Zea mays: one gene and its partner. The main gene of each other region encodes a partner of the protein of the gene in region 2 in a complex. Links are inferred from orthologs where the notes say so. Each region holds a gene or a part of one and is shown on either strand. Other genes may lie near its edges. The genes, in order: Nuclear pore complex protein NUP35 and Nuclear-pore anchor.

What was found.
Region 1: Nuclear-pore anchor (region 2) and Nuclear pore complex protein NUP35 share a complex: the UniProt entries of both Arabidopsis thaliana proteins name them as parts of the nuclear pore complex. The link is inferred for Zea mays from reciprocal best matches to the Arabidopsis thaliana genes NUA and AT3G16310.

Annotation. Positions count from the first base shown.
Region 1 is NC_050103.1:23,275,388-23,279,770, reverse strand, and holds the start of Nuclear pore complex protein NUP35, read right to left. Parts: upstream 2,874-4,383; 5' UTR 2,775-2,873; coding exon 2,248-2,774; intron 271-2,247; coding exon 159-270; intron 1-158. Other genes in the region: uncharacterized protein LOC100274262, read left to right, coding at 3,019-3,228, 3,343-3,387.
Region 2 is NC_050099.1:187,942,455-187,946,274, reverse strand, and holds the end of Nuclear-pore anchor, read right to left. Parts: intron 2,456-3,820; coding exon 2,393-2,455; intron 2,235-2,392; coding exon 2,057-2,234; intron 1,896-2,056; coding exon of another isoform or gene 1,890-1,895; coding exon 700-1,889; intron 617-699; coding exon 563-616; 3' UTR 363-562; downstream 1-362. UniProt on the Arabidopsis thaliana protein: Component of the nuclear pore complex. Acts as a docking site for activities required for desumoylation and mRNA export. Required for the proper expression or localization of a subset of miRNAs.

The DNA of each region.
Region 1 (4,383 bases), on a different chromosome or scaffold from region 2:
TACAGAATAGTCAAACATGAAATCTACACATCAAAAGTGTCATCTATTTTGGGACGGAGGGAGCACTGTATTAGTTTAGGTCTATTCTCAGTGATGACTATCTGTTCGCATCTACACGTCAAACATGAAAATGTGTGAATAGAGCTGTTAATAGTTACCTGATACAAGATATGCACCCAGTTCGCATCCCTTGGACCAAGAACATGTCTCAAGACTATCCCACACTTCTCAAATTCTCGCAGCACCATGTTAGTATCACCAGGAAAAAATCTGAAATAAAAAAAGAGATGGAATGGAAGACTAATAAAAAATGGAATAAATTATAACACTAAAACACCATTAACATCCAACCATCACACCCATTCAAGCTATTCAGATGTTCAGAGAATCAAGCGCGCAAGGGCATTCTGGTGGTGGTGGCTTATGGATAGCATGATTTTTCAAAAGCACATGATCAACCAAAGTTCTCTGCTTCAAAATACTAGGTGTATTATAATTTTAGAAGCAACTTTATAGATTTTGACGAATGATTACTCAAATTATATGTATGCTTAGGGTTAGTTTGGAAACTTAAATCTCCTCCGGGATTCCCGGAGATTGAGTGGGAAATTAGCTCATCCCCCCCCCCCCCCCCCCCCCCCCCAAGTCCCCGGGAATCCCGGAGGGGATTAAAGTTTCCAAACTAGCCCTTAGTAAATAAAAGTTGCATCAATAGATTCACATTTGAACAAACAGATTTTGAAGCAATTGATGACATAATGTAAGAGTAATCCAAAATCAACATCGAAGTATGCTTCTAAATATTTTCCCCCAAATCCTAACACACCTTGTAAACAGAAATAGATAAGTGTAGACACCTGTATTTCAAGTTTCAACATTTAGGGTACCATATAGTGCAGCAGTGCATGTAAATGTAGGTGAGAAAATAGAATAAAAACTAAATCAGTACAAGAGGGGAGATCCTAAAACTGTATGATTAATATTTGTTGGGATTTTCCTCTCCTAAGTTTGAAAAACTGTGCACTAAAAAGTAAAATCCCTATATATAATGCATGTTTCCATTCCCCACCAACATGTAGCCAACTTTATCAGTATGACACTAACAAAAGGTGTGCTTTATCATGGGAGAGGATAAGTGGATAACCAATCTATTGGATATGAGCATTGTGTAACTCTATCACATGGGAAAAGAAGAACATGATCTGATAGAAGGCACATCAACAAACACCATTGAACAAAATATGAAGTATCCTGGTTTAAAACTGATACTAGCAGAATCTACTAATAAACTACCACATCTGTTACAAATTGTAAGTCGTTCTGGCTTTTATAGGTACATAGATTTTGCTACACACCTACATATGCAGTATGTCAAGATACATAGTAAAATCTATGTATCTAAAAAAGATAAAACAACTTACAATTTGGACCAGAGGGAGTAGATTAATACCCCTTGACGTTATTGTTCTAGGTTCGCAGACAACTACATTTATTTTAACCCATGAGGCATGATCCAATTTTCACATGCTACCTTCAACACTAGAGAGCTAGAAGCTATCAAAAGTGCCACAAACTCAGCAAAAAATTCCACCAATCAGCGTTGAACTCAATCACGTCAATAGCCATACTCTAGCTTCATCATTAAAATCACCAAAAGTAAATCAGACCTTATCGATTCACAAATTTGCAAACCCGACCAAGGGGTGAGAGTACCGGTATTATGTCCCAACATGGCTAATAAACCCAAACTGCAAACATGCCGGCACTCGAACTCATGACCTCTAAAGTTCCTCATAGTAACTTGCTTGTCAAAGATAAAAATCCAACATATTAAATGGTTAAAATGTATTTTCAATTAGGAAACTTAATCTGTTGGTCCCTGTTTAGACAATGTTGGTAATGTAGGCATCAAAATCATCTTGTACCCTACTGTACTATGTTCTCTGAATCTCTGGAGTTATGTTGGGGGTAAGAAGTCCATAGACCGATGATATAAAATTCTTGGAAATCTGCATGCTTATGTTCAAAGGGGAACTCTCTGGCAGCATCAGATGAGTGTTTAAGAAACATTACCAATTCCACACGCACAGATGCCATAACCAGCCTCTAAGCGTACTGTACTATACTAATCTAATTACAAAACGAAACATAAAACTGTATGAATCTAATGCAGCAGATTATTATACAATAATCCACACATCCTACCATACCCATTGCATCGACTTAGCTGGGGGCGAGGCAACATACCCGAAAACGGTGACCCACTCCTCCTCGTCGACCCGTCCAGCAGCCGGAGCCGAATCTCTGGGCATCTCCGGCCGCGCCACCTCCCTGGGGGGCGGCAGCGTGATCAGCGCTACCTTCTGCTGCTGTGACTGCTGACCCGACGGCGTCGTCGGGGACTGCTGCTGGTACTGCACGACGCCATCCATCGGTGATCCCTCCCTGGGATTCTCCTCCCTCGAGGGGGTCCACCATGCCGAGGGCCCCGGCGAGCCGTTGGACCGCAGCGGCGAGGAGAAGAGAACGGCTCCACGCGGGGGCTGAGGCGAGGGGGTCGTCGTCGCCTGCGGAGGCGTGGCCGGCTGCCTGGAGGGGGAGAGGTGGGAGAGGTCGTCGAGGGAGAGCAGCGGCGGAGGCGGCGGCGGGGTGGAGGCCTGCGCCTCTCGCCGCATCGAGGCCGGTGGGAGGCGAAACGACGAGGAGATCGGGGACGAGAGGTCCCGCAGGAACGGCGGGTGGCGGCGACGGTGATCCGGCCTGGAGGCACTCATGACGGTGGCGGAGAGCTGAAACCCTAGCAAGAGAAAGCGGAGTTCCACTGCCGAGTGCGCCTTGGGTTTTTGGAAGCCTCACGTGTGTGAATGTGAAGAGGCAAACAGAACGCTTGTGTCACCAACATGTGGACCCTAGAACTTTACAGGTCCCACATGTCGGAGTGCTGGCGTTTTGATTCTCGGCTCTACTCGAAGGCGATGAAGAAATTAAGAATACGCCAGGCTCCTTGTCGCTCGTAAAATGGAGGTCGCGACGGCGACGGAGGCGTCTGCGCCGGCGGCAAGCGGCGGCGCGGCGGGGCAGGGCCACCCGTTCCCGTGGCTAGACGCTGCCATCTCTGAGCCCTACTACTTCCTGCATCTCCTCGCCTTCTTCTCTTACTTTGCGGCCCGCAGCGCGGCGCTCTCCGCCGACGACGGAGGGGAGCTCCACGACCGCCTCCTCCGTAGGGTAAGCTTCGGAGATCCCCGTGTGCCCGATCCGGATCGTGTCATTCGGTTGGTTGTTGAGTTGTGTTGGCTCATCCGCTCATGCGAATCGGTGTTGATGTGCTTGGTTTTGCAGGAGATCCAGGCAGTGCTCGTGTTCCTGGTGCTCTTCGTAGTGAAGGTGTGATGATCAATTCCAGCTAGAATTCTATTGCGAGCTTATTTTCTGAGTAGCATGCTTGGATTTGGTGTTAAAATTGGTGGGAGTAGCTGTTCTGTTGCTCTAAAACGTGGATTGCAATGCTGTTATGCGTGCCTTCATATTTGTTATGTTACACGGATAAGGACTTTGGGTGTTTCTTCTATCTTTTGCATTTTATAAACCAGTCAACCTGCGACTTGAGATGTTAAACTTGATGTCTCAGTAAATTTTAAAACAAAAGGGTCACATTGTTAGGCGATTGCATGGATTGCTTTTGTGGTAGAATTAGGTTTGCTATGAGGTTAGATTGCATCATATTGAAAGATGCAAGATTCGTTGAAGTAATAGCAATGCAGGTTGGTATGTGAGAGACAATGTTATGCTATTCCTTGTGGGATACTTTCTCTTATTGCAAATATGCATATAGATTTGCTTGTGCCTTTATCTTTTTGCCATTAGAAGTCGATTATCCACACACTATAGGAATTTCTTGCTATTCCTTGTGTGATACTTCTCCATATTTATGGCAAATATGCATAGAGTCCCAAGTACACCTTATCTTTTTTTCTTTGCTCGAAGTGGATTATTTGCATGCTCGAGGAATGTTCATTGCTGAAGTTCCACATTGATTCGTAAGAAAAGAAATTTTCCTAGGTGGATTTTTATTATTTTTGTGCTTCGTTCTCCACATGCTCAAATGCACAATCAGATTATCACAATATTTATTTTGGAGTCTATTTTGGTATGGCTTGATGATTGTGTAAAAGCTCGTGATGATGTATGTTTTACAGCATCTCCAACAGTGACCTAAATGAGTGCCTCAAATTAAAATATAGGGCTTTTTCTAAAAAAAGTACTTCAATCGTGCCTTATTTTAACAAAAAATGTCAAAAAGATATAGGGCAACAGTTAAAGTGCCATAGATATATTGCACTTCTTGGGCTGCCTCGTCCTTGCGTTCTACCCAACTAAACA
Region 2 (3,820 bases):
TCCAGCAGCGTCCTCTAAATTTAGAGGATCATTTAGAGGATACTGCTGGAGAGCGTAGAGAACCGTTTCGTCCTCTATATTTAAAGTACATAAGGTTTTAGGGGCTCAGCCTAAGAGAAATGAAAGTCATGCATATTTAGAAGGGGTGTATAAACACTAACAAGTCATTTTAGTCCATATACAAAGAGAAATGAAAGTCATGTATAAAGTCGTGGTTTAGAAGCCCGGGTAGGGATCCACCCCAAGGAATGCTTCACGTAGCATCATTTTTATGGCTATGTGAAAAATGCTAGTGCTATTGGGATTCAGGAGGTGCAGCTCCAGCCCATAGTACCAACAAACACAACAGTTTGGATTAGATATAGCGGTCTCAGAACCCACAAGGATTCGCACGCAGGTCAGGGAACATTTAGTAAAAACCAATGAGACAAAATTCGTCGATCAATCTAAAAACACAAGGGTCTCTGTATCCCCATGAAGTTCGTCGATCAATCTAAAAATACAAGGGTCTCTATCCCAATGGACAAAATTATCCCTGCACGAGAAAAGACAATCTACTTTACTAGGACTGACCACGCCCCCCGCGGCCCCTTGATCCTCGACCCGTAGCATCTTTCTGCAAAACAAAGGCAGCCCCGAATCAGCTCAATGCTGGATATAAGCACCCAACTGAAATGAACAAGAATAAAGAAACCATACCCTGAGTGTAACAGATTGCTGGCCACGACCCCGAGCAGTGCCAGGTTGTTGTGCGCGTTGAAACCTGGTTTGCCTGTTTTGTCTGGCCCTCTCACTTAAGTTGATTGTTCTGGAACGAGTTTCAGCAGCCTCCACTACAGTACTGGTGTTCCGCTGTTCAGAAGACGCACCAGCTTGGGCTGGGTTAGAGGAAGGTTCACGTGCCTCTGTTGCAGTGCTAGTATTCTGGGGTCGAGAAGATGCACCAGCTTGGACCGGACTAGGGGAAGGTTCACGAGCAGGAGATGCATCTGCAGTTCTGCTTGGTGAGGCATCAGCTGCACCAGGTTGTGTTATAGGACTTTGGTCCGGTTCCACAGCAGCACGTTCGGCTGTAGCCTCACCCTCGATCTCTGACATATCAACGTCACTCTTGTCTTCAGGTTCCTCTGCCAACTCTCCCTCCTCCATGTCATCATCAACATCAGTTGCAGTAGTACGCTGAGCATCTTCCTTCGAATCTTCTGTTTTCCGGTCATCATCAAATGATTCAATTATTGCCTCTGACTTTGCCACTACATGCTCTTCTTCTAAAGGAATTGCATTTGCGTCAATATTAGCATCAGCATCCTGGCCTTTGATGTCCGTTGATGCATCTCCAGAGTCATCTTTATCACCCCCATCCTCTTCCCTTGTTGCCTCAACCTCTACCATTGGCTCAGGTGCCTGATCAGTATCGATCTCTTCTGTAGGCTGTTGTCCATCTAGGTCATCAGTGGCTGGAAGCACATTAACCTGTGCCGCTACATCCCCAAGAGGTGGTTGACCACTTTTGAGTTCACTAGTCCCTTGTGAAGATTCTTCCTCCTTGGGCTTCTTAGATGGAGGATTGACATCATTAGCCTCACCCTGCGAGGCACTGTCTACCGTCTGTGAAGATGTGATAAGCCGTTTACGACTCAAAGGCTGTAACACAGGTAAAATTCCAGAAGTTTCTTGCTCTGCTGGTGGCCCCCCTTTGTCCTGAACTGTGGAGGCATCAACAGCTGATATATCTGTATCAGCATGAGGTTCTTCAGTTCGTTCAAGAGTAGGACGAACAAGGGGTCTTCTTCCTCCAGGCCTACGTACTTCACTGCTTGGTTTGGGAACTGCTCTTTCTTCCGTCATTTTAGCTTTAGCTGGCCTTGACGAAGTATCTACTGGACGTCCTGCAACTGAACGACTTATCAGCTCCCACATTGACCGGAAGAGTAATGAATCAAATGTCATCACATAGGAAACAACATCAAATGCTTCAGAATGACTTATGAGTACTGAATCATTACAAAATGAATAGAATGGCAGCAATGTCAGAACAAAATTAATACTGAATCACCTCCAGCTGAAGTAGGTGCATCCACAGGGGCAGTTTCAACAACTGGAGTTTGAGTTGCTGCACCATCACGGAAGGGACTAGAAGATTCCTCCATATCTTTAGCTGCACGGAAGTATGAAAGAAGTTGCTCTTCTAGTGCAGAGATAGGTGGCACTTCAGATGATAATCCAGGATAATTCTGAAAAGAATGTGTTGTAACTTTCAGTTCTGATATAGAAGGACATAAGACAATGTTTGATGTATTCTTTTATCAAAGTTAGGGATCATTTAAACAAAGAGGAAAAATTGAAACATTTGTCCAGTAACTTGCCATAAAAAATGCATTCAAAAGTGTACCTCAATCAACTCTCTCACAGCCTGCTTATGCTTATCTATAGACTCCTCTACTTGTTTCTTGTCCTGTAAATCAATGCTCGCAATCAGTACTTCGATCGAAGGCAACCCACAAAAAATCAGGAACAATTTATAATTACTTCTAATTTTAAAATATATAGTTTTGAACAAGGACAGTCAAATTTGCAACTTGGTTCCTATGTTTCAGAAAAACGGTAACATAGTTCCTCTCTTTAGAAAATGTAAATAAAGTCTTAGTTTGTCCTAAGTCAAACTTCTCTAACTTTGACAAAGTTCATATAGCCGCCTTTCACCTTTTGACAATCTGCTGCACAAAAAATCTTAGTGTTTGGGCTTCCAAGCGTAACCTCAAACTTACCTCACACAGCCCCAAATCAAAGAAAACTGCCTAACCCCAGCAACCCCAATTCCAGGAACAAGGAGTTCGACCTTGTTGTCCACAGAGGGCAAAGCTTGGTGATTGAAGGGATCTAAGGCAGGATGGACGAATGGTGGTGCAGGACAGAGGTAGACATCCTATCGAGCTATTCAGCTCATCCTCCAGTGTCAGCCTTGACTGAGGGTGGAGAGAGGGAGCAACAGTATATGGAGTGGGTAGAGGAATGTTACGTCCCGACGAGTCAGCGGCGGCGGCGAGATGAATTCCAAAAGAGAAGAGGGCGGAAGAAGGCAGAACGGAAGAAGATAGAGGTATGTGGAATTTGGTATTCTGTTATTTCTATTTTCTTAGTTCCTTTACAAGGCACATCCTTGCCCTATATATGCCTACCCCCATCCTTAGCTTCCTCTGTGGTAATGAAATTAAGCTGAGTAGTTGCTGCAATCTGACTGTTAGACTATGTGTGTGTGTGGGCTGGCACCACTGTTGGGCTGCCGGCCCATTAGGGTTAGGGTTTCTTGTGAGTCTATATATTGTACCCCATCTCCTATGCAATACAACAAGCATTCCACATTCCAATATGGTATCAGAGGGCTAGGTTTCCCACGCTTCCCTCCTACAGCCGCCAGCTCATCCCAACGCCCAAGCCGCCGGCCACCAGCTTCCGCTCCGCCGTCCCCGGGAGGTCCCCAGTCCGCCGGTCCAGATCCACCACTGGCGTGGGCGCGGACCTCCGCGTCTGTCCCCCTCCTCCGCGCTGGCGTGGCCGCGGCCTGCCCCCCTCCTCCAGCGCGGGCCCTCTTCCCCCGGCGGAACCGGCCACGGAGCAGCGCGGCCGCAGCCTTCTTCCCCGGCCATGGCGCGGGCTCATCCCTGAACGTCGCCCCCTCCTCCGCGCTGGCGCGCCGCCACCCTTGGTGTGCATCGGCGCAGGCCCTCTTTCCCTGGCGGAACTGGCCACAGAGCCGCTCGCGCGGCCTTCTTCCCCGCCGCCTCCCACCTCCAGTCGTCGGCCAGTGCCTGGCGCACCT